4 linked regions of the Drosophila melanogaster genome follow. The protein of the gene in region 1 interacts with the protein of each later gene in a pairwise test. Each region holds a gene or a part of one and is shown on either strand. Other genes may lie near its edges.

Region 1 (8,094 bases):
ATCCAAAACCGATCGCCAATGCCGCTGCATCGCTAGCGACGCACTGCAGCAGACGTCCACCAGTTCCATCAGCACCCCCACCCACCAATTTCCCCCCAAAAAGATGCGAACGCGCAAGGTGCTATTGGTAATTGGCTTTCTGGTTACGTGGACCTATGCCACCTACTACCTGCTGTTGCGCCAAACGGGCATCCATACGAGCCGGCATCAGTCGCTTCAGGCCTACAAGCTCAACTCGCAGGCTCGCGATGCCAATATGCAAAGCCATCATCTGGCCAAGAACGTGTTTGAGTTCGTCAAGCTGAAGTACTTGGAGAAGCAACCACCGTCGGTGGCATCCACGCCGCAAATTAGCATAATTGCCGCCGAAATATCGGCGGAGCTGCCGGAGCAGCATGTGGCCAAGTCGGCAACGGCGCGCATTCCAACGAAAACATATCTGGCCAATGGCGAGCCCGTGTTTCCAGTCGTAGTCTTCGCCTGCAATCGGGTGTCGGTGAAGAAGTGCATCGATAACTTGGTTCAGTACAGGCCCAGCGTGGAGCAGTTCCCCATTATTGTGTCACAGGTAGGGATCGAAATGGGCTACCCAATCTAAATCTTATACTTATACTTATGCTCTAATACAGGACTGCGGCGATGAGCCCACCAAGGAGGCAATCCTCTCGTATGGCAAACAGGTCACGCTCATCGAGCAGCCTGATCTCAGCGACATCACAGTGCTGCCGAAGGAGAAAAAATTCAAAGGCTACTACAAGATAGCCCGACACTACGGCTGGGCCCTGAACACCACCTTCGCTGTGGGCTTTGAGTTCGTCATAATCGTCGAGGACGATCTGAACGTGGCGCCCGACTTCTTTGAGTACTTCCTGGGCACGCACAAGCTGCTCAAGCAGGACCCCAGCCTGTGGTGCGTGTCCGCGTGGAATGACAATGGCAAGGCTGCTGTTGTGGACGCCGCGCAGCCGGAGCTGCTCTACCGCACCGATTTCTTTCCCGGTCTCGGCTGGATGCTCACCAAAGATCTGTGGGCCGAGCTGTCGGTCAAATGGCCCAAATCGTGAGTGGGGCAATTATGGTGTTTGCCAGCCAATCGCTAATGGTTCATTAACTGTTCTAGCTTCTGGGATGATTGGATACGTCATCCCGCCCAGCGCAAAGATCGCGTGTGCATTAGGCCCGAAATATCACGCACTCGCACGTTTGGAAAAATAGGCGTTTCCAAGTAAGAGATATAGCTAGCTAACAATGCAACGTGCCAGCTAATAATGATAATTTGTTGTTTAACAGCGGTTTGTTCTTCGATAAGTATCTGAAGCACATTAAACTGAGCGAGGACTTTGTGCAGTTTACAAAAATCAATATGAGCTACCTGCTGAAGGTAGGTACACACCCGTGCATTGTTGCCTCATTACACTAACAACTATTTCATGTTCAGGACAATTACGATAACACGTTTCTGCGGCGCGTTTATACGTATCCCATTGTTACGTACGATGAGCTGCGGCGAAACCTGATTAGGTGAGTTGATATATGATATATAGAAAGTATCTACATAATTCCAATTATGGTGTTGCAGAATCGAAGGTCCAGTTCGCATTCAATACACTACTAGGGAGCAGTACAAGCGGACAACTAAGATGCTGGGTCTTATGGATGATTTCAAGGTAGATCAATCAATCTATGTGCTTGAAACTATGATTATTCTTAATCTTTGTAGAGCGGTGTTCCGCGGACTGCCTACCATGGCATCGTCTCCTTCTACTACAACAAACGGCGCGTGCATCTGGCACCCAACGCCAACTGGAAGGGCTACGAGCTCTCTTGGAGCTAACGACGCTAAGGACAGAGTACCGCCAGCTCCACTTCCATTACCACGCAGCTAGCTCCGCGTGCTTGCAATACCAAAAATAGCCCTATGAGTTTTAATTTTTATTTGACCAATTAGCTAAGTTGTAACTATGGAATCTCCTCGAACAGTAGACGCTGTTCGCAGCCATCGCGTAGGCAGGAGTACTTGGAGTACTAGCCCTGATTTCTGATAGAAAACGCAATTCGTCTGCTCCAGATCCCTAGCCTACGGACCTACTGTTGGCGTAACAAAATCAAATCAAATGAGTCTCCACTATGTATAGTAGTCAACCGAACCGAACTGTGTGTGGCAAGAGCCAAAAGTGTTCCATTCTAGCACACCAGCCACACAAGCAACGCAATGAATTGTAAATAAGTCAGTGTCGTTCGCTTTTGTTACAGCTCTCTCTATCTGTCTATCTCTCTCAATTTATCGTGTTAAATTGCAAATAGTTATAGCAATGGTTAAGTTATAGTATGCAGCGTGTAATTTGTAGCATTTAAGTTGATCCAACTAGAGTTCTAACGGCAACGGACGTGTAATATTTGTGATTTTTGATTATTTAATTTACATTTATTAATTGTTGAGAGCCAGTCAGTAAACAGTACCCGACCCACACAATGTAACATAGAATAGCAATAACTAGCGCTAGTACTAGTACTAGAACCACAACGTAAACTAGACCAGTGCTGAGCCACCAGGGGTACGCCAGTAATCCCGGCCAGATCTGAAAGTGTGCCACTCTCAGCTAGTTGTAATGGAATCAACCCAGACAGGACACCTACTCTACTACCCCCTATGACTACACTTTGTATGAGCATATTTTTGTGTGTATGAGAGACGTACGGAACATAAATTCTAAAGACAACCAATCGCCTTTTCACTCCGCAGCAGGTGGCTCCTCATCCTCGTCCAGATGCTCGCAGTCAATGTCGCTGCACTCGGACTCCGATTGTGTGGGTCTGCGGCTCCGCTGCGCCTGATTTAATCCATCGTGGCCGTAGGCTGTGGCTGTTCCAGCGACTGGCGTGCTGCGTTGTTGCAGAAAGTTGGCATTGGCATCCCCAAAGACGCGTTCCAGTTCGGCGAGGCCATTGGAGGCGCCGCTTTCCGCTTCCGGCGGCAGCGTCGCGTACTTCATTTGCAGATAGCTCTCGTTCGTTGGCAGTGACGCCGCGTAGTCCACATAGCTGGTCGCATACGGCTTGCAGCGAGGGATGTAGCTGGCCGCAGGCACACCACCCGCCGGCGGCTTAGCCACGCCAAAGGGCAGGGCGAAGTTCAAGGGTTGTCCACGTGCCAGTATGGCATTACGGGCACTCTCCATCACACTGGGACCCGGCAACGGTGGCATTCCGCCGCTAGTCGCGTACGGACGCATGGGTGAGCCGGTGGCCGTCGTTGCTGAGGCCATGGGTGCAGCGGAGCCACTGCCATTTAGCATAATGGACTGAATGGGCGTGGGACCCGTTGGCGTTTGGCTAAAGAGCCAAAGGCGATCACCAACCACCATCGGCCTGGCCAATCCCCCGATACCCAGCTGGGCGTAATAGTGCGAGGCCAGCGTTTCCACGTCCGAGGTGTACTTGCGCTTCCACTTGGTGCGGCGGTTTTGGAACCAGATCTTGATCTGAAAAGTGAAATGAATGAATGAATTATTTACGAGGAATGCCAATTGTATCTCATAGATACAAGGGATTTCATTTCATGTTATTAATCGCTTTTAGATAGAATGGCAAACTTTTTTGGGTAGTAATTAAATTTTTTGATAGATTCCACAACTAACCTGCGTTTCTGTGAGCTGCAGCTGCTTGGCCAGTGCAGTTCGCTTCGCCACCGAAAGATACTTTCCCCTTTCGAACTCCGTTTCCAGTGCTTTGATTTGAGCTGCCGAGAAGGCGGTACGCGGTCGCTTTTTGCGGTCATCACCAAGGCCTGCAATGGAATCAAAGTGGGAAATCGAAATCCCAATTAGACATTTATTGCTACCGACAGCGGGCAATCCGGCGCGCGGTGCCAACTATTTTCGCCTAATGGTAATTTGTCGATCCGTTGTTGGCACAGTTGTATGTGTATGTAAAATGCCCCGTCGCACCGCAAAACCCCTGGCAAATTGCAAATCACACTGTTGCATTTCACTTAGCCAAGGCGTCTAATTGGCCATTTTGGCATACATTCTCTTGGCCGACCGAAAACAAATAGCCATATAAATTCCTTCTTAACGGGTGGAAGAATATCTCCTTTGAGATCGCCAGCGATCTTTGTTCGCTTGTGACATTTGCATCATTAGTCGACTGCGTTGGTGTCGACGAAAATGTGGATATGGAATGGATGGCTTATTCCCTGTCACCCAGAAGCTAATTTCTGATCATTTGTTTCTTGATCGCACGGATGACAGATGAGATCATTCAGCCATAGGCACTCACTCATTCGTTCAGGTGGGAAACTCATTGCATATTTACATACAATAATGAACGGCTGTGCTGAGCTCGTTATGGGTGATTCCATTAGGAGGTAAATCATCTTTTAGAGACATTTTTTTTCAGAATTTAAAATTTGTATATTGTAACTGTATTATTTGAAAGATCCTTGATAATTCCTTGAACCTTGATAATACTACACTTAAAAGCACTAAAGCACTGACTATTTGGCTGTTGGTGCTATTTATCCTGATGAAGTTCAGTATAAATCTATATTTTGTATATTTGCTATTTAATAAGGATCCAATTGAGCTTTAAGTTAAGTTTTTAGATCCCAAATCCAATTCCAGACACCAAAATTCTCGTCGTTGTAAAGCTTATATTCCGGCATATCGATCATACGCACCGTTTCCATCATCTGAGGCCAAATCGATATCACTTTTGCCGTCGTCCATGTTGTCATCCAAGCAACTCGATGTTGCCGGACTGGAAGCCCGTGAAGCACCGAGACAATTGCCACCGCGACCGCTTTCATCCTGCACGGAGTCCTCAAAGGAAGTGGAGCTGCGCATTTCCGGCTTGGCCAGAATTTGTTCGATGGAAAAACTGTGTGGATAGCGACGCACTGCCGATTGCGAATTCATGTTTCCGCCGATTGCGAGCGATATATATTTTGAAGATATTCCGGAGACAACAGCGCGCGTGGAGATCTTACGGAAAACTAATTTGAATATGCGGAGCATCCTGCTCACTGGCCGATTTTTCAAGATGATCGCCTGGCGGGGCGGAGCCTAAAATCATATATCTCCGCACCGCTCACACCATATGCGCAAATAGAACGACAGAAAGGAACAGAAACATACTATTCGATTTTCACTGAAGACAGCACACAAGTTCGGTTATTTTTAAAACATGTGTGAAATGTTTGGGATGAGGGGCGTGGCTCGCGTTCAACGCCGTCTTCTGGGTTTTCGAAATTGTTTTTGTCGCCTTGCCCGTGATTAAAAGTCATAATTTTTGGCTAATTGTCTACAAGTAGCGCTATTTAATATTTCGATGGCTTTGCTAAATATATTTAATACGTTTGCCAACATATTTCATCCATTTGATTAATGAACGGCGAGCAATTTCTTTGACTGGATTTGTTTTCAGTGCTTTGGTGTGCAGGCACGTGTCCTCTTTTGGGTTAATTCAGAATTCTTTAAACAATGCAGCATTCAAAAAATTGTATTCAAATGTACAAATGGTTTCTTTGTCGATTTTTTGGAATTTTTTAAATCTCTTAACAAAGTAATACAAGGCCATTAGTCTAAGTGATTGTAACGCAATGCATAATTGGGTTCTACTAGCTTGAGAAACATTTTTAATGTGTATAATATATTCAATTTAAATCTGAGAAACAGTAATTTTGAAGCACAACATTTTTTGAATCATAACTTAATTGTTGAGTTTTTAGAACACCTTCCTTACAGATATTTCATATTATAACTTTCTATTTCTTTGAATCCCAATCCCAAGCCCCCTGTAAAAATTTCATTAATTCGAAATTATGAACACATAATTCAGACAGAATGGAAAATGGAAAAGGGGCACTCAGGATCCGAATGGAGGGGAGGATCTGAGAAATTAGCCGGCGGCCTGGCTGACACTAGTTTCCAATTGGCCAGCAGCCAAATCCACAACATCTACTGGGCTACAGGGTGCCCATTCCTGGATGCGCGGATGCCCCATGATAACGTCTTCATTATTCAGGCGCGATTTGAACAAAATATCTGAAAACACGTTAATTAGTCGCCGAGATGGCGGAGCAAAAAGGGGAAAGGGGACGAATCGCAGGGCATCCATTTAGCCGGCCGGGCTGTCAGTTTGATTTAATTTAATGAGAATTCTGGCGGGGATTCGGATTCGGTTGCGGATGCGGGGGGGATCTAGATCTGCTTATGAGGCCGCATGCCCGAGTGTCGCGGGCACTCAAATCAAAATGACAACTTAATTTTCATAATTGCGCTTAATGAATATTCGACTATTGCTTGCCATATTTCAAATTCCACTGCCAAACAGAATGCAGACTTTGTTTCGACTTCGTCATTTTTGAGTATTTACCAATTTGTTGGCTACTTTATAACCTATCTATCCATGGGTATCTATGGAATCACATTCAAGCCGAACATCTGAACATAAGTATTCTATTCTATCTTGTTTTGGCTAAGTCAATATATTAAGTTTCCTAACTGGATCAGAGAAATCTGAGGAAGGAAATGAACTTGCAGATATGTTTAAGTATTATTATAAGATTCTCAGCATAACATATTTTGCATACCTCTTACCACTTTGCACTGGAATTTGCCTCTGGAATTTCGAATCAATTAAGGATCTTTTGGCCCTTATTGCGTAAGACGACAACCATAACCTTAGGCTAACTAAAGATCAGTTTGTTTGGTTCTCGCATTTAAGACTAAATGGAGCGCAGTCGCGTCAGAATTTAATTAATAACCGAGCATGCATCTTCATTATAAATCATCACTTCTCGAGTGTTTGTCAGGCGCACGCAGCATAAATCACGTCCGGAGTTGCACTGGCAGTCGCGTGGAACAGTCCGTCCTCCGGCCAGAATTTCAATGTTTTTTGTGCCCTCTTTTTGTCATCGCATCCAGCTAATGATGCATCAAGTCCTGCAGGGTGTTAGCTACATCTAACTGCTGCCTCGCTGCCACATCGATCATTGGGCTGCTCCGGACTAACATCTGTATCTGTATCTGAATCTGTATCTGGAACGGGCATCGGTGACACTCCCACGCCATTGACTCTCGGATATTCGTGTGGTTTCCGATTACGCCGAAGGTGATGTTGGAACTCCTTTTGCGGGCGAGCATTGAACTCCTTGGGAAACTGTATCCTGATTGATTCGTTGGGCTGTCTATTTGTTTGCCTCGAGGCTAATTTGTGTGAAGACCTATTAGAGCTGGTTATGGAAATATGATACCATGATTAGGTACTTAGAAACTATGTAGAACAGACCGCAGAGAGAAAGTATTAAGAAGGCATTCAATCAGGTGGTATAAATATGTATAATTTTTTATACATATTGCCTGTTAAGCAGCTTGTATTATTAAATGAAAACTACTTAAATTTTTCTATATTTTTGAACGTATTCGTTAATGCGGAAATTAAATGCAGATTGCATTATCCTGCCAAAAGACCGCCATAAATATCGGTGATGAATTTTGGGATCTCCACCCATCTTATGCTGTTAATTTCATTCATAAAACTGCCTCCGGCAAACCAAAAAACCAGCCTACGCCTTATAAACTGACAGATATAAATAATAATTAAGAAAAAAAAAAAAAAAACGGGAGAGAATGAACTGCATATTATTAATTTAATGTGCGCTCGTTTCGAATTCGGAGTCCGTGGATGGGAAGTGGGCTCCCAGTTTCCAATTCTTGGTGCACTTTTCTGGGAAACATGCTTGGGGAGGAGCTCGAGGAGTAAAAGGCGTCATTCCGTCATTCCGTGTGGTGTTTATGTTGCAGGCGAGCAGACAAGACTCATAAATTACAACCAATTATCAAATTAGATTTTTACAAAACATGCAGTTTAAATCATATAGGAGTGTTTCGCTTTTTTTACGACACAATCAAACAGATTCCGTTGGCTCTTCTCGGATTTCCCTGCCTGTTTTTTATTTGTATATTTTTTTTTTGGTTTTTATTTCTCGGATCAAATGGTGAATCAATTCGAATTCATGGGCTACTGATGGAGGCAATTAAAGGAAAAGCTGTGCAATTGGAAAAATTAGCAGACAATGCGAGCCCTGACAAC
Region 2 (8,088 bases), on another chromosome or scaffold:
ATTCCTCCATTTCCCCGGATAGTGGATGGTGCATTGTGATTCACTGACCAAAGCCCGCAAAGCAATGGAACGCAGCTCCAGGGGTCGATCCGCTTAACTGAACGCTAGTCGGCGCGCGTTCATTAAATCCGTGATTTGATAAACATGAGCTGCGCCACTACATTTCATGCTAATTTCGGGCTCAATGCGATCGTAAGCACTTTACAGTTGACAGTGGCCCGGCAATCCCGGATCGGGCTGACCTTAAGCGGGTTCCACTTCCAATGAGGTGGAGCTGCCGTACTCCCTGCACTTAGGTTAATAATATATAGGATTGATGATGATAAGCCGATTCATCCGTTTCAGGAGGAGGCCAAATGCTGTGGCTGCATCACTTGCTCCAAGGAGACCCGCGACACATTCGCCGAAATGATGAACTTCTCTCTGCTCAAGGACATGGTGTTCGTGATCTTCTCCGTGTCTAATTTCTGCACGAGCATTGGCTTCAACGTTCCGTACCTGTATGTGGTCGCCTACGCGGAGACCCTGAAACTCACCAAGACGGATGCCAGCTATCTGATATCCACGATTGGCGTGGCCAACACAGTGGGCCGCATAATCCTGGGCTACATATCGGATAAACCGTGGGTGAACCGCCTCCTGGTCTACAACGTCTGCCTCACCGCCTGCGGAGTTTGTAAGTTTGTGATCTGATCGGCGCGACCTTCAGACTAATCCCATCCTGCTCCTCCGTTCCCTTTCCACTAGCCACTGCCATGGTGCCGCTATGCCACGACTTCCAATCCCTGGCCTTCTACTGCTGCGTCTTTGGCTTCACGATCGGCGCCTATGTGGGCCTGACCTCGGTCATTCTGGTGGACCTGTTGGGACTGGACAAGCTGACCAACGCCTTTGGCCTGCTGCTGCTCTTCCAGGGTATTGCCAGCTTCATCGGTCCGCCCATCGGAGGTGAGTACTCGCCATAGCTGGAAGTAGTGCTATGTGTCTGACCTTTGCTCTCCAGGCTGGATGTACGACCTGACGGACTCGTATGCGCCGGCCTTCCTGATGGCCGGACTCATGATCGCCATCAGCGGACTGGTGATGTTCGCCATTCCGCCGCTGCAGCGCCTGCAGGTTCGCAAGTCGGAGCGAAAGCCCCACACCGAGCACCTGGCCCTTAGTTAGTAGTTCACCGCCACCCATCCACCACCCACAGTGCCCTGTTTATTCCTACTCCATATTTTTTTGTTTTTTTTTCTACTGTAACTATAAATCTAGATACGTACTGATGCACACGACACTTGGTTAGATTAAGTCCTAGACCTAGGCCAGCCATGTACCGAGGTATGCGTGTATGCCGCAGCTATGGCATATCCGAATAATTGTGTACGGGCGACTGTCACCGAACCGCCGGCTTCTGTCCCCCGAGCCATGACCTCTGACCCCAGACCCCAGACCCCTGACCCCTGACCCCAGACCCCATTAAAGGCCCCCATTGCAAGTGCATGCAAATGTATGCCTACACGTACATGTACCCATACCAAATTATTGTTATTCTATTATGACTGTATGCCTGTGCGTGTGTGTCCGTCTGTGTATGCGCCATTAAAGAAAGCTTTTGTACAACAACAGAAAACCACAAAAGTCCATTTTGAAATCGATTGGCTGAAAAACCACACATGCCCCTGACAATGGGAATATGAAATGTGCGGGTAAGTAGCGTTGTGCTTGAAACAATCTATTTTTTACGAAATCAAATACGAAAGATACAGGCTCTAGAAATTCATACGCGTTAAGATTACTGCAATCAGTTTTGGCCAATAGCCCCAGAAATGCAATAGATAATCCATGTACCATATAAATCACATGCCATATACATACTGCCCAGTCGACTTGCTCCTCGTCAACACAGCATTCCTTTCACATACTACAGTGCTTGCCAAGACGATCCCAAAAAAACGAATGAGAGCCCAGAGAATCTACATCGTGGCAATTTTCAACTTGTTGGTCAATCGCAGACCGGTGATCTTCGTGGCTAGTTGGCTATTCATATTTATTGTCAGGGCACAGAGGCGTTCCTCGAAAGGGGTCCACATACAGAACGGATTGCAGATATAGTTCGAAAGGATTCGGTGTTTATTGGATTCTTAAGTGACTACGAATAAAATAGCAACAAAGGGCTCGGATGCGATTCACGCCACCCCGAAAAGTACGCATTCACAAAAGCACTCACTCATTCACACCTAAAAAAAAAAAAATGAAGTTTTGAAGCTAAATATGAATCACTGAATCTCCCCGGTGATCAGCTTCTTTAGGGTACACTCTCCGGCTCCCAGCTTGTGGAGGATGGCCAACACTTCCTCGCGGTAGCGATCCATGTGGCCCATCTCCTCCGGAGTGTACTCCTCGTGGTCGAACCGCGTCATCCTCCAGATCACATTCAGCTTGGCCTCGATCAGCACGTAGTTCGAGGAGGGACAGAAGCGCGGACACAGCTCGTTGATGAAGTGGATCATGTCCTGGACACTGCACGAGTTGATACGGTTATTGATGGTGTTCAGCGCGAAGTCCTGGTACTTGGCCATCTTTGCGTGCGGGAACACGTTCTCGCAAGTGATGCACCGCCAGTCCGGCTGCAGTGTCCGAGTCTGGACGGGAATCACCAGGCCACGGCAGCCCTGTTCCCGGCAGAAAAGCGCCGACAAGTAGGTGCCGTTTTCCTGCAAGAAGACAATGGTCAGTGAATCGAAGGACTTGGGGGGAATCAGGAAATCGGGGGTGGAATCTGCAGTCAAAGATCCGGCGGGTTCACGTCCGCCTCTGTCCATTCACGGCGTACAGTTGGTTCCACTCCGAATCGAAATGGAAATCGAAATCGAAATCAGAATCGAAATCAAAATTAACATTCTGTGTGTCATGCTCATGTAAATTTTGGGGGTGTGTGTTAGTAGCCCGGGAACTTTGGATGCCCACATTAAAGGCATATAGGCAAATAGGATCAATGGACTGATAATGTATGCCTCGGAGGTCTTGAACAAGAGTGCGTTTAAGGTGTATATTTAATAGCAAGAATGGAACTGTCCAACGACTGCAGGGCTGTGACAAAGATGTCTCAAGCTCACCCAACTCCCAACAAGTAATTTTGTTACTATGCCCATCAGGCAGTCATTTTAGCAGGGAAAAGTGCGTGTGCCTGTTACCAAATGTTGCCCCTTTGCCCACTTGATGGACACCCCCCCTTGGGCGCGCCCCTGGGCCCTGGTTGATGCAAATCATATAACTAATTTAATTAGGGAACGCATTTGTGTCAGGGGGCCTGGCCAGCGGCGGCCACTGCCAACGCCAGAGGCCATTATTCAACTCATCCCAGAGCGGCAGAGAGCGGCCACATAAATAGATGTGGCCGGCCGGATATGTGGATCGCGTACGTACATACATATATGCCCATGCCACTCACATCCCTACCACACGCGCACTTTCACAACGCCGGTGACATCGGCGTTGGCCAAGAAATGTGCCCGAAATTCAGAGCTTTTCAAATTGCAATTATTGTTTTTTGTTTTGGGACAAATATATTGCGATGGTCGCGATGCAGATGGCGGATAGGGAGAATGATAGCTATCAGGTAGGTTCAGAAAAAGAGGATTGGTGGAAAGTTTGGCGAAGATTGCTATTAACCATGAAGAAACTCCATCAGCCTAGAAATGACCATAGTCAGAAGCTAAGCTTGCAGATGGTGGGAGGAGGGATTACCCAAGGAGACCAGGATTCCTATTGGTACCGTACTCACAGTATTGTCGTGACACCTCACGCAGTCGCAGGCAAAGTGCTTGGTCATCTTGAGGAAGATATTCCGGGTGAGGTTGCCCCAGAGGATCTTGGTGTAGGTCGTGGTAATCTCACCGCCCTTGGGAATATCGCGCGCAGCCCGAACCACCGCCAGTCGACCGTTTTCGAAGTAGTGACTAGCGTTCGGGGTGCACTCGTGGTTCATGATCGCCGTGAGCGGGAACAGACCCCGCAGTAGCGTCTCGTGGCCGCCAGAGCGGCAAGGAGCCTCGAAGGCATTTGTATTGAGCACGCCCACGATCCGGAACAGCTGGTCCATGAACACCCGATCCGTGGTGGGGAAGTTCCGGAAGCATTGGGCCGCCTGGATGATCTCCCGCCGGTAAGCGCGCTCCGCATTCGCTTGCATGGCGTCCACCAGATGCCGCTGTTCCTTGCCCAAGTGGAAGACCCTCACTGCGGTGAGGATCCTCAGCGACATAGGATTCACCTGCTCCTGCTCCGCATCCACGTCTTTGGGCTGCCAGCGACGGAAGTGCTCGCACTCCGCCTGGTGCTCCTCGGAATCCGAACAGGTTTCGCATACGGGCAGGGTGCAGCGATGCCGGCAAAGGAATCCCGTTTGCGGCAGGGTCTCATGACAGCAGATGCAGCTGCTCAGTTGGCCCTTTCTCGCCGTCGGACCGGTGACTAGGGCTCGCTCCTGGAAGATCAGCTCGCCGGCGGCTATGTCTCGGGTGGCAAACACCCCACGACCTGCCACCGTGGAGGAGCTGATGGTCCAGTTGGGCTGCTCTTGGCGCAGATCCCCCAAGTGGACGTCTATCAGCTGCGCCAGCTGCTCGGGCGTGGTGTCGCGACAAGGGGCCATGTGAGCGCTCAGGGCGGCCAGTGTGGTGTCTCCTCCACCACCGCCTGGGCGAGGAGGCGGGCACTGGGCAGCAGTAGACATGGCGACTGCGGTGGGAGGTCGGTCGGAACTGCGGCGAACCAACGCGACGCGCGGCAACTCGGCGAGTGAAGATGTCTCCGCGCAGCTGGGCGGACTACGCGGGAATAGCAACGATATAGTGGCGACAGCGACGACAGCAGCAACATGAGCAGCGGCAGCAGCAGCAGCAACACCACCCAGCACATCAGCAACAACAGCAACAACTGACTGCCGACAGTGGAAGCAACCCAGCAAAGCAGCGACGCTTATGACGTGGACACACCGACGCCCTCGGAGAGCATTAGACACAACTAAAAAAACACAAATTAGAGGCATCCACCAGGGAACGGGGGAAGGCGATTGACGAAAGGGGCCGGGAGGTGAGGAACGGGAAATGGGGGGGCAAGGGGACAACAGCGACAACAGTCAAATATGATTTTTTCCAAGGCACACGCACACTGAAAGCACACACACTCGCCGCCAAGTTCCCATTTACGAAATCCAAAATAACATTTTCCCCGAAGGAAAGAACTTGAGCATTGTGTTCATTGTTTTGGCCAAAATTCGGGCTATTTTTAGGCAGCTTGACACAAAAGTTCAACACTTTTTGTGAGAAGCCAAAAGTTTTGATTCCGCGATAAGCGGTTTCGAAACGTTTTCGGAGTCGGGAACGTGGAGCCACTTGGTGCGCCACTGGGAAATAGAGACATTTGGCTGGGACGACGCAAAGCGGATTTTGCTTTTGACTCTTATTCAATTTGTGCTTGAGCTGTTGTTGCCGTGTGGTTGTTGCTGCCGCTGCTGTGGTTGCTATTGTTGCGTTCAATTGGATTCGCTAGTGGGCGTCCATCGGGGGTTGACGATCGCGAGGGGCATAGTGAAAGGCACTGATGCAGCCATCAGCCATCAGCCATTCAGCCATCAAAGAACATTTCCCACTGTCAATTTGTTCGCCAAACACCTCACTGTGGCTGAAACCCCCAGCCCCCTTCACCGAAGTCTGCTTGCGGTTGGTTATGGACGCCATAAACTGAAACGAAGCCATAGGAGCACCACCCACCCCATCTCATCCCCACCTCCACCCCCATCCCATCGCTATCACCATCTTCATCCGATTTCTGTCGCCCTACGACAATCTGAACGGTTGGCAAAATTATTTGTGGAGATGCAGCGCCATTGATACCAAGCGTGTTTGTCTCCCACGCTGCTACACTGGCCAAAAATGAGTGCACGACGTAATAGGCCGCTCATGGATAGGACTGTAAGCCCTGGAGAGTGTTGCCTAAATGCATACAACGTAGAATAAGAAATGAGTACTACAATCCTGGCTGGCAGTGCAACCCACTTTCTGCGGGTCTAACTACATATGGCAGTGCGTGTGGCCGGGACATAAATTAGGGCTTCGCTGGCCAATGAGTTGCGTGTTCCAGGGGCCAAGGGGTCGGAGACACCAGGCCGCAAAACGAGGTGAGCGTCGCAACACGTGACCTGGTGGGGAGAAGGACCAGTACCAGGACCATGACCAAAAATGGGGTGGCTCCACTCCCAGCTGTTCACTTTCCGACGCGAATGTCACGCACTGTCACATGTTCCAAAGTGGAGTAGGTTCGTCCTGCCACGCCCATTCTCTGCGGTAATACGTAAATCAGTTCTAAAGCGTACGACCTCCGTTCTCCCTGCTCCTGCTACGGACCGCCAGCAACTTATAGTTCGCCCACATTCCAAATCTATTTTCACTTTTACGCGCATTTTATTGGCCCAATCGAACGGAAGCTAGACTGAGCGGCATGAAGCGAATAGAACGCACTCGAATGCCAAATATCAAAAAGCGTGAATACCAACTGAAAAATTATAGGGTGCGTTCGGGCATTATCGACCATGAGTCCTTTAAAGCTATCATGATAAATATTATTACATTAGCACAACCACAACTTTTGTAATAGTCGATCAAATGTGGAATGCCATACCTTGTTGAATTCGTAGCTTAATTTCCTATCCAGTGGCATTCCCAGCTAAAAATATTAAAATTTCACCATTTTTCGAAAAAAAACGTGATGTAACCCCTTATAAAAAAGTGAAAATTTCGCAAAAAATTATTTTTACCAAATTATCTAAAAAATGAAATGGGTCGTTAGGTGAGGTTGTCAGCTGCAAAAAACAGTATGTTTCGTATCTGTGCGTCTTCATTTTGCGAAGTTACAACTAAAAAACCAATAAAAAAGTCGTTCATTTTGACAAACAAATGTGTCATGATTTTTAGTAAAAAAAATATCAGAATTTTGACCACAACTTTTGTAATAGTCGATCAAATGTGGAATGCCATACCTTGTTGAATTCGTAGCTTAATTTCCTATCCAGTGGCATTCCCAGCTAAAAATTTTAAAATTTCACCATTTTTCGAAAAAAAAACGTGATGTAACCCCTTATAAAAAAGTGAAAATTTCGCAAAAAATTATTTTTACCAAATTATCTAAAAAATGAAATGGGTCGTTAGGTGAGGTTGTCAGCTGCAAAAAACAGTATGTTTCGTATCTGTGCGTCTTCATTTTGCGAAGTTACAACTAAAAAACCAATAAAAAAGTCGTTCATTTTGACAAACAAATGTGTCATGATTTTTAGTAAAAAAAATATCAGAATTTTGACCACAACTTTTGTAATAGTCGATCAAATGTGGAATGCCATACCTTGTTGAATTCGTAGCCTAATTTCCTATCCAGTGGCATTCCCAGCTAAAAATTTTAAAATTTCACCATTTTTCGAAAAAAAACGTGATGTAACCCCTTATAAAAAAGTGAAAATTTCGCAAAAAATTATTTTTACCAAATTATCTAAAAAATGAAATGGGTCGTTAGGTGAGGTTGTCAGCTGCAAAAAACAGTATGTTTCGTATCTGTGCGTCTTCATTTTGCGAAGTTACAACTAAAAAACCATTAAAAAAGTCGTTCATTTTGACAAACAAATGTGTCATGATTTTTAGTAAAAAAAATATCAGAATTTTGACCACAACTTTTGTAATAGTCGATCAAATGTGGAATGCCATACCTTGTTGAATTCGTAGCTTAATTTCCTATCCAGTGGCATTCCCAGCTAAAAATTTTAAAATTTCACCATTTTTCGAAAAAAAACGTGATGTAACCCCTTATAAAAAAGTGAAAATTTCGCAAAAAATTATTTTTACCAAATTATCTAAAAAATGAAATGGGTCGTTAGGTGAGGTTGTCAGCTGCAAAAAAACAGTATGTTTCGTATCTGTGCGTCTTCATATTGCGAAGTTTTTCAATCATAGTGATTGATAATTCAATCACTGCTTTTGTTACTTAGTGCCATGAGCAGAAGTGAATAGACAACCTTTTTCCCCAAATAGAAAGGGTAGGCGGAACGAAATT
Region 3 (7,339 bases), on another chromosome or scaffold:
GAGTGGAGTTGCGGCGCCAACGGGGCGGGTCCGTTCCAGACGCTCGCCATCCGCTGCGAGGCCTGGGCATGCAGTGGATCTTGGGGCTCGAGCGGTGCGAGTGGTGCGAAGGGCAGGGGCGCGAACAGATTGCGATGCGCCGGCAATGGGTGGGTTAAATGTGGCATAAAGCTGCAGAACGGTGGGAGTGGGCGTAGGAGTGGACGTGGTGTAGAGTGATGTGGTTAGTGTATACAGTATTAGCTGGCTACTGTGTGCCCATATGTGTGTGTGTGTGTGTGTGTCTGTGTGTGTTCCCTTCATGCAAATTCCATTGGTGAGCGGAACGAATCGAAACGGAACCGGGACCCAATAATTCATATGCCTCCATTGTTACCTCGCATAAAAAGAAGCTCAACTCTATCCTCACCAAACTAAATATATGTATCTATCTGTATGTAGTATATATGCTGATCGTGCTCATTGTTTAGGTTTTTTGCGCAGCATTTACCTGAGCCGCATACTAAGCGCCTGTCAGTGGAACTCTTTTTAGAATCAAATGAAAATAACTTTTTAAGTGCCGAAACAATCGCTGAAAAAGGCGAACAAAACTTGAGAAATGTTCCTGCACTTGTCATCCATCAACTGAGATTTATGTCAACGGATTTTGGTTTTTTCTGCGTCTCCCAATGCATTCGAAATCTGTAAACTGACTCAGATACTTTCTATGAAGACATACATACGCGTTAGCCAACTTCAAATCTTTTTTTCTTCGCTGCGGCTCATTAAAATTCGCTTCGCGGGAGCTAATTAAAAAAAGCTCATAATAAGTGCTAAATGAAAAAAATATACGAAACGAAACTAGCTGGAAATAAATAATAAAACAATACTGCCCGAAAAGGCGAAACGTAAACAATTTGTTGGGTTGCTGACTTTGAGGTACTTCTGTGTATCCGATTCACTTCTGGTTGGAGATCTGCCTCCGTCCAAGATGACTCATCCAGGCGGGACGTGATCGACAGGGCTCGAAGCGGCTTTGGCTGAGCTACAGATACAGGCGGTTTAAGCCGACATTACAATACATAGAGGCTTGGCCAGTTTGATTTTTTTTTTTCTCTTTCTACCTTGTCAGATTCTCTGGAAATCACTTCTATAATATTGCTAGAGCGAGTGAATGCACCTCAGTTTAAATCAATTGTGTGTCCATCAATCAAAAAACCATCAAAATATTTGATAAAAAGGAACACTTAATTTATTCACAATTTATTCGCAAGAATATTTACTCAAAACGTTATCATAAATATTTTATATTACTTGGAAATAAGTCAAAAATTTTATTTCTTTTTCATTATTTTAACTACTGTACGTCGATTATTGAATGCAAATAATATTTCAAAATGTATACATTCATATGAACAGATTTGAATAAAGAAATAAAAAATCTTACAATAGAGCGAATGACTTTTGAAATCTTAGAATAATTACTCTTCATCTTAAAAATTGTGCAAAAATATAATATCAACTGTATGTTGTTTGATAAGATATTAAATATATCCATTTAGCAGTAATTCAATGACTAAGTACTTTGTGAAAGATTAATGAATGTGTGAAGTATTTGTTTTGTGATCATGGTATTCAAGACTACTTGGAATATTTGTAGACTGCGTATCCAATCTGTGAATCGAATATAATTTGCAAACAAACTAAATTCTGTTCGCTTGAAGCCAGAGCGAAAGTCATTGGCCACAGAAATTTCCAGGGAAATGTTTACGTCGAGGGCAGAGATGGATCCAACCAAATGGCTGCCTGATTTAATTTAAGCGCAGCCGTGACAGGCAGAATAAAAAAAAACATTCTGTGAGCGTTAAAGGGGGAACCAAATTGTGGGCGACCCAATTCGAGGGCAGATTATAGAGTTTGCGGAGACATTCTTTTGCCGGCGCATTACCCATTACCCACAATATGCCACTTAATGCCGTGTCAAATGTCAATTGCTCTCAGGGCCAAAACTGTTCGAGATTTGTGTGCCAAAGATGAGCCCTGCGGCGGCTTGAACCCAAAGGTGGCAAAGTCAGCCAAGTGTGGAGCGAACGGAGAAGATCGGTGGAAGAAGATGTGGATCTTGGTTGCCCAAGTCCCGCGGTGTTGCCCCACTTTGGTTGCACATTGTTCTCTTGCGATGCAGTATCTTTCGCAAAAAAGGGGGAAAAAAATAATAAAAGCCAAAGACTCAGATCGTGGCCTTTGCACATTTCCAATGGCGGCAAAGAACCCAGTTCGATGCGGATTTATTGGCAGACAATCTCTGCGACTCAACAATTTCAGTTTAAGGTTTATCAATTGAGGTCAATACTCGGCGGGCTTTTGGACTTTCTTTCCGGGGGAACTTTTCGCTCTTTCAGCGCCTTCGCTACCATAAACATTTCGGTCAACTTTATTTGCAGTTTCGTTTAGCGGGCGAAAAGTTTCTCCAAGAACAAACAGGGCTCGGTGCCTCGTTGGGCTTGAAAATGTCATAAAAAACACTGAACCCGGTATTAGCCAACTTTTATGTGGTGTCAGTGGGCCCAGCGGAACCCGTGAGTGAAAAAAATATTGAAACTGTTTAAGCATTTTTAAGTTGTTTAACATGTAAACCTCGTCGGTATGTTTGCTTTGTTAAGTAGTTGTAAATGAGCAAATCTACTGGGAAATGTTGGGGACTCAACAGCTGGGCTAACTACGTTTACTTATAGTTCACCTGGAGTTATCTGAGGACTCGTGTGTGGAATCCGAGGAGTCATCGAATTCGGCAACCTCTTCAGAACTTGAACTGGAATTCAACATTTCGTTTATTGGGACAGATTTAAAAGGTCGGGCGGATGGGAAAAATCTACTAGGGTTAGTTCTATGGGACTTAAGCACTTAATATTAACGATTATTTGGAAACTTTACCAATTGGTCTTCAAAAATATATTTGAAAGCGTTATTGTAAAACTTCAATAATGGCAAAATACTTGTTTTTTAACTCGTGGCTTACATTAATATTGTTATAAACATTGTTATGGATGGTATCAAACGTTTCAATTTAGATCTAATTTTGTATTTCTTTCAAAGTGTTTTTTTTTTTTTAATTTTTTTCCGTTTTTAGTTATTTGGGATGCGCTTGTTAGGTAAAATTTTGTTCCAATGATTCTATGAAATTGTATATGTTTAATTAGAGAAGTATTTCAATTTTGTGGGTCCCAGGCATTCCTGGCATTTCAATTGTGTTCCGATAACATAAAACATTTAGTTCATGCCTTATCAGAAGATGTCGATGTACATATGTTAACCATTTAGCCCGCAACGCAAACAACTCAAACTACGTGAAATGTGCATGAAACGAACGCTACTACACAGCACGAAAAACTTGTCGGATTGATACTCACTCGCCGTAGAATGGAACCGCCTGGATCTGGATTGATCCCAGGAGGAGCAGGCAGGCCCACAGCCGTAGCATGTTTGGTATCACAATTTTAATCTGGAGCCTCGGTTGGGAGCTAAGTAAATGAACGAGACAAGCTGAAAGTTGCTGTAATCAAGGGAATGGCTGAAGCTGGCTGAATGGCTGGTTGGATTCGAGAAATTTCACCGCGATGGATGGAAAAACAGCTGAGAAACCGAAGAAATACAGGTTTTCCACGCAGCGCTGCACTCGCGTATGTAGGTGACTGATTTTGGGAGTGAGAGCGACGGTCGACGAAGAAAATTTTCCACTGTCTTCACGCATTAATTGTAAATATGCTACGGATAGACGACATATACCGCCTGTCACTCACTTGTAATTATTGTCAATTGTCTTGTTTTTACAAAAATTGGCACACACTCAATTATCAAATGTCTCTGGCTCCTTTTACTGCAGTTAATCGTAAAAAAGGGGCACTTGTGGCACTCACGAAAGTTGTTATATGTTGCTTGATCCGACGATGTTGCCGCTTCAAGTCGCAGTTTAAAACTAACTGCCCAAGAACGTCGAGCATCTGGTATTTATAAGCTGCTCTGCCGCAGTCGCCGTCGATTCCTCTGCCGCGATATCAACGCATGTAGTGATCATGGGAGCTTTGGGAGAACAGAGAGAACTTTTGGGGACGCTGTGAAATCGGTAATAGCTCTATATATGTATGTATGTGTGTATTTACATATGTATATGCAAATAGTGCGGGTGGCAGGAGGTTCGTACAAATTGTGAAAGTGCCAGCTATTAACACTTCATAGAGAAGCGAGCGAAACGAAGCACTTTTATTAATCATAGTACATTTCACTCAAAATACTGTAGAATTTGGGATACAAAACCCAAACTAAAACGGTGTAGAATCTGAAGAATATATCCTATAATATAGGACTCATATCATTTCAGACTTTGGCTTGGCGAGCATTTCAAACTACTTATTCATTTCGAGTATTTTCAATTTCCTAGAATCATTTTCTGTTTAAACTGCACCTAGAGCGTTTCTGGCAATGTCCTACCTGTATTTGCTAGCCAGGTGTAGTGCGCACTTGGAATTTCCGATATTCCCGTAACCTCTAACACCCATCAATCACTGTGGTGTCTGGTCGGTTCCGCCTTATTAGGAGTCTCCTCATATTTTGAAACTGTTCCGATCGGTTTTTATTGTTTTGTATAAACAAGATGTCAGCTTGTAGCTACATGTGTAGATGAAATTGAATTTCTTGGAACTGTTAGAAGACTTTATAATGTGTTCTTATATTTGATTGCTCATTGTTTTGATTTTAGTCAATATTAGATGCCCGTTTTTTACTTATTACCAAAGTCAAGCAAAGTATGTTGTTATTGAAAAACCATGAAAAATCGTAATCATCCGTTTCTGAAATAAATATTTATTCATTATTTACAATATTTATTTGTGCTATTAATGTAGGTGTATATATATTTTGTATACGTAGATGTACCACAACTGAAATGTATCTTTAAGTATATTCGTTTTAAATATATTTGTTTTAAATAAATAATTACTTTCCCACTTTTCTGTTTATCTTGTGCATTTGAACTTCTTCTAGTTTAATTTTCATCATAATTTTGATTAAAAGTTTACACTTAGATATGCAAATAGTACAATTGAATCCACACACTCATCGAAGCATCTCATTCAATTTCAAATAAATTCCCAATAAATTATTCGCAAGTCTCGTTATACATTAAGCTGAAATTTTGTGTCGACAAACAGAGCAAATTCTTAGCCGTGTGTTTTTTGTGTGTCCGTGTTTGAAATAATCTCCAGCCCAGTGATTATTTAAAACACTCATGTGATCCATTTTCTGTTTCCAAATCTGCTCTCCCGGTCCCCTGTGTCCATCTACTTTCGCATTTCCTAGTTTTGTAGCTCTAAGAGGAACTTCCATCAAGATCTATCAAATCGCTCAACATCGCCTACTCGAAAAGTGCTGTGTCGATGAAAGGAAGAGAATAATCAAAATCTATAATTAATTGGGTATAAAATTGGGTTTCCCCCCATTGGCGAGCAATAAATAATAAATGTATTAATTTAAAACTTTATTCAGCTTCCTTAATAATAGGTTGCCACCTTAAGCTTGAAATACAACAGCTTTTTAACCAAATACATTTTGGTTAAATGAATTTGTGAATATGTACCTGGCCGTTTGCCTCGCATTCCCAGGAATCCGTTGGGCGCTCGCTTTTCTCCCCACAGGTAGAGCCATGGATGCACCAGAGCTTGCTCATGATCGTCACCAATCCCGACTCCGTTGCCCTCCAGATCGCTCTTCTTGCCACGCACCGCCACAAATTTGCTGTTGAAGTCGGCGAAGCGCTGCTGTTTTCCTCTCAAGTCATAGGACTTTTTAAAAAAAGTGTGCCAGAACTGGGGTCGATTAGATCTTCACATATGTATAGATATGCAATTCAATGGTTTCTTTTATGTATTATTCAAAAAAAGACTAACACTCTGATTTGCAATGGGGTTTTAGTGTTTTAATAAGCGCATCAAGAGAAACCACTGTACTTGCCACCAACAACTAACTGCAAGGTAAGTCGACTTACATCGGAGAGAGCTGCACGCTTGTAGTGCTGGTGGGAGACGTCCTTCTTGCCGCGCATCCCCACAAAGGAATTGACCGGCGCCCGCTTTTGTTGCAGCTCCGTGGCCTCGTCCGCCTCCGCGTCATCGTCCCCGGCCAGCAGGGCGGGTCGCTTACCTCGCATGCCCGTGAACCCGGTGGGCGCTCTCTTGCCCACCGCGGAGCCATCACGCCCAGCCACGCGATCGAAGAAGTCCTGCAGCAGGCTATCCCGCAGGCGCTCCTCCTCCAGGCTCTGCAGGACATCGGACAGGCGGTTGTTGATTGGGATGAATTTCTTGCCACGCAGGCCAACAAAGGCCAGCGGTGCCTTCTTCAGTCGCCGCCCGTTCTCCGCGTAGCTGCTGTCCGCCTCCTCGTCGGCGTAATCCAGCGGATCGGGTCCCGATCCCAGCCAGTTACCCTCCGAGGTGTCGTGCTCCTCGTCCTTCTTGCCGCGCATCCCAATGAAGCTGGACGTGGGCGCCCGCTTTACCACCCGACGCGGCTCTTCGGCGCCGGGCGTCAGCGGGCTGCCGGAGGACTCCGTCTCCGTGTCCGCCGCACTCGATGGTGCCGTCAGCAGGAGCAGCAGCAGCAGCGCCAGCGCTATCAAACCGCTCAGAGGGCGCATTGGATGTGGCGAGCTTTTAGGCGGGCGTGGAAATCGATGCGCTGCTGGAAAAGCGAAATTGGGGAGAAAATCGATGATTTATTACAATGTGTAATTAGGAAATAATGTTAATGTCAGATAAATATCTAGATATTTTATTACATATTATCACAACTAAATGTTGATACATCTTCATTTTTAGCTGGAAAATAGTTACATAGGGTATTAAAAAGGGCTTATAACTACAGAAGAGGTTAAATATAATCACTCTGCCACATTTTTATTTATGTCAATTTAATTTGACTCTACTCAGCTGTTTTATATAAATTAAATGAATTTAGCTTGTTTATAAATACTTAGTAATATTTTCTACCTCACATATGCAATTACAGAAATACAAAAATTACTACAGATATTATAAAGAAAACGCGTATGAAGTGTGTAACCCTTTAAAAATGTTTTCCATTTCATTTCCTGCTTTGTTTGTTTTGATTTTCCTTTTTTATTTTTTTTTGCTATTCGCATATACTTGCTTTAGTGCACTTAGACTCGCAAATTCCCCGCGGCGGCGTCTACTTGACCTTTTTGTACTCGTGTTCTACGGTTCGCGGAGTGGTGTGAATAGGTTAAGGAGCTTGGTGGGAAACAGAATGGTTTCCAACATACACACTTATGCAACATTGTATTTGA
Region 4 (8,008 bases), on another chromosome or scaffold:
TGGGAATGTCATCGACGACCAATGACCAAAGCCTTTAAACAAATTGGGAATTACAAAGTGCTTTGAGGTATAAATATCAGAAACACTCGAGTATCAATTCACCAGCTGTTTACTTGGTATCTGAGTAAAAGCCATAGTATCTATGAGTTATGTGAGAAATCATGAAGCCTGGAAATGTCAATAAAGTCTAGAGTCTAAGTCTAAAACTAAGGTCTATAAACTACAAAGTAAAGATAGTTACATAAAGCTTAGAAAACTTTTAACTTTGTATATGCACATGCGATAGATACTTTTTTGCTTTGCTTGCCTGATTACACCATAACTTTCTCAGATCTAGATACATGATCTTTTTAATCGGCTCGCTATTTCCCAGAATTGGAGGTCCCAGCTCAGCTGAACAGCCTGATTATGTCTATGTGCCGGAGGAATAAACTGCGCTGAATGGTTAGTGAAGGGACTAGAATCGTAACGGAGTCCGATGGGATCCGATCGGATCGAATGGGATCGGATCGGGATGGTATAGGATGGGACAGGGGCACTAAGACAAAAGAGACGATGACGCGGCGACGAAGGAGCAGAGCTGGCGGAGCAGCAAGAAGACAAACGTGGCGGCGACAACGGAGCAAGTGACAAACGTTTAGATGGATGGATCGTTCTTCATTTCGGGGGAACGAGAACTGAACTGAACCGAACAGAACCGAACCGGACCTCTAGAACGGGCGGTCAGTAACCAACCGAAAAAAAAAAGCGACGATTGCACATAAATTATATTCAAATTTCTTTGAGATCTAAGAGATATATAAAATACGGGAAAAACACACACATGCCACATGAAGTCACATGAATGGTCGGCGACCCCGAGACCCACGATCCTGGGTCTGAAAACCGAAAAACTGGAAAAAAAAATAAAAAAACTGTGTAGTTCTCCTTGTTGTGGCCTTTTTTTTAGTTTCCTCTGTTTGTTGAAATTTATGCAGATATGCGCGCATCTAGATAGGAGTTCCAGTGCCACCTCCATCTATCTGGTTACGTGGAAATCCAGCGCGCCAAAAATCAGCCAAATGCCATGGAGTGGTGAGGAGCACCTGGCATCGTCGTTCTCTCTAAAATGGTATCCCATCCAATCGTATCCCATTCATTGGGGCTCCATTAAAATTCGGCTGACAGCAACGATTCACGGCCCCAACAAATTGGAATGGGCTGAATACTATTTAGATATGGCTAGATCTGCTCAAACTGCCACTGATTGATGTCAATAAAGCCGAACAAAAGACCTAACAGCCAACAAAAGATACAGTGGGCCTTCGTTAAGTGGCCAAAATTAGTTTAAAGGGCCATCTAATTGATCATATTCGATATATAGTTTTTTTTAAGTATTTCGCTGTATATATTTCCTAACTTATACGTTTTTTAAAACTTTTAGTTCACTGCATCTCTTTCCATATATGTATGTATCTTAAACATTTTGTATCCATACCTTGCAGATACGTCTTTAGATACTTCCGTCACCATGGGATGCTTGACCCCTTTTTTCCGCTTCCTTCTGCGAAAATTCTGCTGGTCGTCGGCAATTGTGTTCGGTTTGTGTTTTGCCTCCACTCGAATTAGTGGCTGCGTTTGGGATTTGTCTAATTGGAGGAGGCGACGGGCGCTTTGATCTTGCCACATGTCCATCAAGTACACTACATATATGTATGTATACACGATGTACATATTATTATATGGTATATAAGACGTACGGAGAGGGGGAAAGGCGGTAACCGAGAACGGAGGAAGTTGCTCGCTTGGAACTGAGAGCGCTGTCAGAAATTGCCAACTGGCACATTAATCCACGCGACATATTTATGAGTGTAAATGTATCTGTGTATCCGCGAGATGCGAGATATAAAGATATCGGCCGGCAAACGTGGGACATGGACGAGGGTTGCTCGTTGCTCGCTGCTCTTTGCTAAATGAGTGCACATTTCAGATAAATTATTGCACACAACTTGTACGCGATGGCAGGCCGAAATGTATTTAACAAATTAAATTTACACACAGATACACACACCGCGGCTCGCAAGACTTCAAAGAGGGCGCCGCAGCGTAACGGCCGCCAAATGGGGCGTGGCCTCGACGGGCCAATGGCAACGCGCCGCTCTCACAGATACACAAGCAGGCAACCCCATAGATACACCCATACGCATGCAGGCCAGAGAGACAGACAGAGAGCGTATTTGTTTTTAGTACACGCAGAAAAATGAAGTTCTGTTTGTGTTTTTTATTTTAATGTTAACTAGTAATTTTAGTCAGAACCTTAAGTAGGGAATTATATTAAATCAAATAACCGAACTATTTCTTCTTTGAAAAATATAACATTTGTGATAAGAAGAAGTGGCTCTTTGCTACAACAACTAAGAAAGAGTTACTATTAGAATTGTATCTATAACGTTTAAAGTGCCTAGATTTTTGTCAAAGTGCATCTGGCAGATACGACAGATACGCGGGGCCTGTGGCGAGTATCTCATCGATTTTTTAAGCGTCGGAATGCGTGGCACGAGACAGAGACCCCTGTCACGTGACAGCACCGACATGTATCTGTATCTTTGTGTGTGCAGCTGTGTGTATCTGAGCCTGTGAGTCCCATTCATGCCACTGCCACCGAGATGGCGGATTTGTTAGATACTGGCATGGATATTGAGATACTTCGCTGCAGCCGGGCCAAACTGCACTTTCAGCGCTTTTTTTTTTATCTGCCCGAAGCTGTAAATATCCGCGAGATTTACAACGCCAGCCAGCCGCGACTTCGGTATCGGTATCAGTATCGTTTGGCTGACTTCGATTCGTACTCGGAATCGGCATCGGCATCGGCAGCGGCATCAGGCTGGGGGTATCGCTATTGAGCGCAGCGCATCATTCGGTCAGCAATTCGCCAATGCAGATACTGTATCTGCGGGCAGCAGCTACTAAAATTGAAGAGCCAAAAGCTAAAATACCCATATACATACTCGGTACACCGCGGTCATCGTCGTCGTCGTGCTCCACTTGTGCCCATTGTTGGTTCTGCTGTCACCGTAACTCACAATTGAATTGTTCCTTTGTTCTGTCCCGTCCAGAAGGAGACCCGCTGCCGAATTTCGCATAATTGGCTGGCTTTTAAGTTGGCCGCCAGACCAAGTGTCGCCGGTAAAAAGATACATCTACAGATAGATCGTTGTACTTTTGGTACTTTTGGAGCTTGGTGGAACTCGAACTGAGTACCATGCTGGTGCCGCCGGACATGATGGCCGCCCAGACGCGCATGGTCTATCAGATGAATCGATTCTGCACGGAGAGGGTTCAGGCCAGGATGTACAAGACGGCCACCGCCATCCGGGAGATCTGCAAGATCGTCCAGGACATCCTCAAAGAGGTGGAACTGCAGGAGCCGCGATTCATCTCCAGCCTCGTCGAGTGCAATGGCAGGTAAACTTTTTCAGTATCTTTTCATTAGTATCTCAGTATCTTTTCTTTAGTTTCTTAATAACCATATATTAATAACTATATTACCTAATGTTAAGCCGATGCATAAGTTAGCTAATAAAAACGAGAGCTGCTCATCCGATCAGAGATGTCTAGTGTTCCCAACCACAGAGCCATCAACAAGATATCTGGGTAATTCCAGTGCCCTGATGACTGTCATCGCGGCTACTTCTCACTCCAGTAGTTCCACACCATTGCAATCAAATCCGATCCTCTTCACTCCATTGCGATCATTACAACCAAAGTGCAGAGTCATTGTCAGTTAACTGACAAGTCATGCTCATCGAGGTCTCGCCACCAGAAACGGAGTAGCAGTCGCCCCCTATTATACTCATTTCAACACGATAAACTATCAGATTAATATATAGATTTAAAAATATATATATAGTATTGTAAGTAAGCGGTTTCATCGAAATAGTTAACATCACTTTTACAGATTCGAGGGCGTTGAAGTGATATCCCCGAATGAATTCGAGATAGTGCTGTATCTGAATCAAATGGGTGTCTTCAATTTCGTGGACGATGGCACCTTGCCGGGATGTGCTGTTCTGAAGCTGAGCGATGGAAGGAAGCGGTCCATGTCCCTGTGGGTGGAGTTCATAACGGCCAGTGGTTATTTGTCCTCCCGGAAGATCCGTGCCCGTTTCCAGACTCTGGTGGCCCAGGCGTGCGATAAAAGTGTCTACCGCGACATGGTCAAAATGGTGGGCGACACCAGCGAGGTGAAGTTGCGCATTCGGGAGCGATTCGTGGTCCAGATTACGCCGGCATTTAAGTGCTCAGGCATCTGGCCAAGATCGGCGGCCCACTGGCCGGTACCACATCTCCCGTGGCCACATCCCAACATCGTGGCGGAGGTCAAGACCGAGGGCTTCGATCTTCTGTCCAAGGAGAGCGTCATCATGCAGAACAAGAACAACAATGCCGCCAGCATGGAGGGCGATGCCTGGGTGCTCAGCTTCTTCGAGGCCGAAAACCGTCTGCTGCAAGGTAAACATCTTATGGATACACCTTTACACTTACAGAAAAGATCACACAATTTACTAGCAACTTTTAGTATAGTTTGGGAATTTGAAATCTGGTGTATTTAAATCTCATATTGAATTCCTTTCAGGTGGCTGTCGTCGACGTTGTCTGAGCATGCTGAAGACCCTGAGGGACAGGCATCTGGATTTACCAGGCAATCCCATCAGTGCGTATCACCTGAAGAACCTGCTGCTCTACGAGTGCGAGAAGCATCCGCGGGACTTTGAGTGGGACGAGGGCTGCATCGCTGACCGCATCAATGGGATATTCCTGCAGCTGATATCCTGTCTGCAGTATCGCCGTTGTCCCCACTACTTCCTTCCCGCACTGGACATGTTCAAGGGTAAATCCCCCAGTGCTTTGGAGCAGGCGGCCAAGCAGGTGTGGCGCTTGACCCGCGAGCTCCTCACAAATGCCAACGCCTTTGAGAAGTTGTAAGGTGTCAGAGGTTAAAGGTCACGACTGGTCGATAATGGCGATGACATTTTTGGCAGGAATTTATAATTATTAACCGCACTCATAGAGTGAATATTGTTCTTATTTTTTTACCCGTTAGATTAGATTCTTTTGCTCCATTCACATATTGTTGATTTGACTAACTTCTTCTTGCAGTCACGCAAATATCGACCCATCCGAAGTCGGGGGAGTGCTGATGTGTATGAGGTGCCAGGCAAGTCGGAGATGAAAGGTACATATGCGAATAAATACATACGCATAAGCACAGCTCCTTGGCGGCCATTTTGTGCCATGTCTGTGTATATGTGACTGTCTGCGTGCGTGCGCGTGTGTGTGTGTGTGTGTGCGAAAGTGTTAATGCGAAGATGCGAGATAAGTCCACTCCCCATTCGACTCGACTCGACTCGACTCAACTCGACTCGATGCGATTCGAGATATATATCTGCCCATCCAAGCGATCCGGCTAAGCCTCGAATATTGTTTTTAATAACTCGCCCCTCGACGCTCACGACACATCCTTTGTTTGGCCGGCGAACAATGGACTCGCCGGTTCGCAAGTCCGGATGGAAAAATCGAAAAATCGAGAGAATGAAAAAAGAGCATTTGTCCAGGCGGCTCCTTTTACACGGTGGCTATACACACTCGACGTATACGATTGTTTCACAGTTCGCAGATCCTAGATCAAAGCAAAACGAACATACAAAAAATATATAATATATACATATAGCGCTAGAACAGAGGGAGATACAGATTCCATTGATCGTTCCAAGTCCAACTTAACATTGTTTTACTACTTACATATACATATACACATATTTATGTATGTCGATGTCTATTATGCGATGCCTAACATTTACCACGATTATCCGCAGTTTGTTTTAAGTACAACATAATCCTAGATTGCTAATGTAAAAAATGCTTGAATAAATTCAAGGATAGCCAAAGGCAACACTCCAGGTATTGTTTTCCTATCAATAGGGATTGTATTTTAAATCACTTGATTGCTTAGCAAATACTTACACAACACTTGCTGAAAGAACATGGAGAGTTAAAAAATGGATGTTCTTAACTGATATTCATATATTTAAATGAGGCTGACAAACGGAAGATGTACCACAAAAAAAGGACAAATCTGGAAAGGATGTGCTGGGATCTCATTAGTTCGATCGGCGGTTGAGTTAATGTTATGATTATTGGCAGTGGCGAATATTTATTTGCAAACGACGACATATCTGGATCTGGATGTGGATCGGAATCGTCTTGGGATCTGAGGCTGGGAAGATGCAGCTGCTGCAGCGACAACTGAGCATCACTTTTATTACCCTTATTTATGGTTATTTTCTGGCGGGGGCTGGATCCACGAAAACCGAGTGGTTTGCCTGCTTTGTTCTGCGGTTCTTTTGTCCCTTCGCTTTACTTTATTATTTTTCGTTTTTTTTTTTCTTTCTTTCTTTTTTTTTGGATTTTTTGCGGAACGAAAACTTTCAGCGAATGTAATCGATATTTTCCTCGATGGACGCGTCGACAAAAGGTGTCTCTAAACGGAGAGCACGGGATATAATCAGCGTCAGCACAAAGAGCCAGTTGGTCGGAGCGATTCGAGTCCAAGGATATGCCAAGGATATAATAATGCGTGGGCCAAAATAACAAATTATGCCAAGGCACGCAGGGATCATGTTACGCAGCCCTCCATCACCAGCAGTAACCCCTGTGCCACTAACCCTCGACTGGGTGGCTTTGGCTGTGGCTCTAGCTTTGGCTGTGGTCCTGTTCTTGGTCCTGGGAAAAGCATCATCAGGTGACCGAATCGGTATCCGAGTCCGCAGGCGAATCCTCCGCAGGATGCGCACTTGGCCGCCAGCGGGAGGACACGTGACTGCCTGTTTTCCTTAATTTTCATTCACTTTGTGGGTGGAGATGCGACCAGAACCATGTGCCAGTTGCTTCGCATCGATAAGGCACGATTCCCATTGCCCCGTTGACAAATGGTATTCGAGAGGCCATTTAATGGGGGCCAACAGTTAGAGCTCAGTTCGAAGTACCAGGAACCATGACGCAGCACCTGCCCATTCACATGGCCAAGTCCCAAAATCATCCTGATCCCGGGCAGCCTTCTCATTTGATCGGCTGTCACAACTTTGGCGAAGCCACAACAAAATATTGTCGCTTTTCGCCGCTGGATTTTGGTTTGTACACAGATACCCTGGGAATTTTTGAGCATGCTTATAAATCTATCAAAATTGTGAAAACTTTGTGAGTGTGACTATGTCCCTTACATGGATGAAAATTTTAAAATTACAATAGAATTTGATTTAAATAATTGAATGGAAATAGTTTTATTTCACTTCATTTATTTTTTCCAAACAGGATATCTAATGTTCGAATCTTGCGAGTCAATGCTCGTCAGTTTTTTTCCTTTTTGTTTTTCTCGTTGACATTTATGCGCACCCGCCCTCCAGTTTTCGTAGCTCCTGACTCCGTATCCTTCCGTCGAGACCTGCCACGCCCCCAGGCGACTCGTGGGCGGTGACAGGCGACTTGCTATTGCGATGGCGTCGCATTGTCCTGGCATTTCGGGCTTCTGTTTTCTGGGCTCTGGGTTGCGTTTTCTGGCTTTGTCGCATGGCTTCGAATGGCATTTCTTTGTTTTAATTGTTCACTAATGATATTTAAATTAGGGCTCTAAGTGACCGCGGGCGGTTTTCTGCTATCCTGCTCCTTCGCCCAACCCCATCATCCATTATCCTTTTGCGCCTTTTGTTTTTGTTTGTCGTTTGCATTTTGACATTCTATTTGCTTAGATCTTTTAGCGAGGGTTGACACACTAGTTTGGTGGAAGTAAAGGGTAAGTGCGCGCTAAACTTAAACTTACTTAAATTACTTTTAGTCATTTTTACATAATAACATAATACAACATATTCCTCAAAATCACTTATGAAAGAAAAAAATTAATTTTTTAATGAGTTAGTTGGCTTATAAGAATTTTTAATTCACTAACTCTGCTTTTCCAGCCTTGTTTTCCATT

Evidence for each region.
Region 2: the proteins of lms (region 1) and SmydA-8 interact in a two-hybrid assay, tested with the Drosophila melanogaster proteins (one large-scale study listed by BioGRID).
Region 3: the proteins of lms (region 1) and mfas interact in a two-hybrid assay, tested with the Drosophila melanogaster proteins (one large-scale study listed by BioGRID).
Region 4: the proteins of lms (region 1) and CG4766 interact in a two-hybrid assay, tested with the Drosophila melanogaster proteins (one large-scale study listed by BioGRID).

What each region holds. Positions count from the first base shown.
Region 1 is NT_033778.4:20,553,780-20,561,873, reverse strand, and holds lms (lateral muscles scarcer), read right to left. Parts: upstream 4,998-8,094; 5' UTR 4,917-4,997; coding exon 4,679-4,916; intron 3,788-4,678; coding exon 3,639-3,787; intron 3,483-3,638; coding exon 2,733-3,482; 3' UTR 1,921-2,732; downstream 1-1,920. Other genes in the region: Mgat1 (mannosyl (alpha-1,3-)-glycoprotein beta-1,2-N-acetylglucosaminyltransferase), read left to right, coding at 104-568, 630-1,060, 1,121-1,225, 1,291-1,381, 1,439-1,521, 1,580-1,667, 1,721-1,834.
Region 2 is NC_004354.4:2,203,762-2,211,849, forward strand, and holds SmydA-8 (SET and MYND domain containing, arthropod-specific, member 8), read right to left. Parts: upstream 4,918-8,088; 5' UTR 4,724-4,917; coding exon 3,773-4,723; intron 2,703-3,772; coding exon 2,265-2,702; 3' UTR 1,754-2,264; downstream 1-1,753. Other genes in the region: Mct1 (monocarboxylate transporter 1), read left to right, coding at 346-676, 748-948, 1,004-1,167; FarO (fatty acyl-CoA reductase in oenocytes), read right to left, coding at 1-34.
Region 3 is NT_033777.3:11,989,353-11,996,691, forward strand, and holds the start of mfas (midline fasciclin), read right to left. Parts: upstream 3,964-7,339; 5' UTR 3,897-3,963; exon of another isoform or gene 3,501-3,896; 5' UTR 3,461-3,500; coding exon 3,390-3,460; intron 2,792-3,389; coding exon 2,720-2,791; intron 651-2,719; exon of another isoform or gene 502-650; coding exon of another isoform or gene 491-501; intron 172-490; coding exon 1-171. Other genes in the region: Tk (tachykinin), read right to left, coding at 5,390-5,403, 5,612-5,840, 6,020-6,670.
Region 4 is NC_004354.4:5,995,430-6,003,437, reverse strand, and holds CG4766 (uncharacterized protein), read left to right. Parts: upstream 1-2,640; 5' UTR 2,641-3,241; coding exon 3,242-3,444; intron 3,445-3,937; coding exon 3,938-4,491; intron 4,492-4,615; coding exon 4,616-4,965; 3' UTR 4,966-5,930; downstream 5,931-8,008.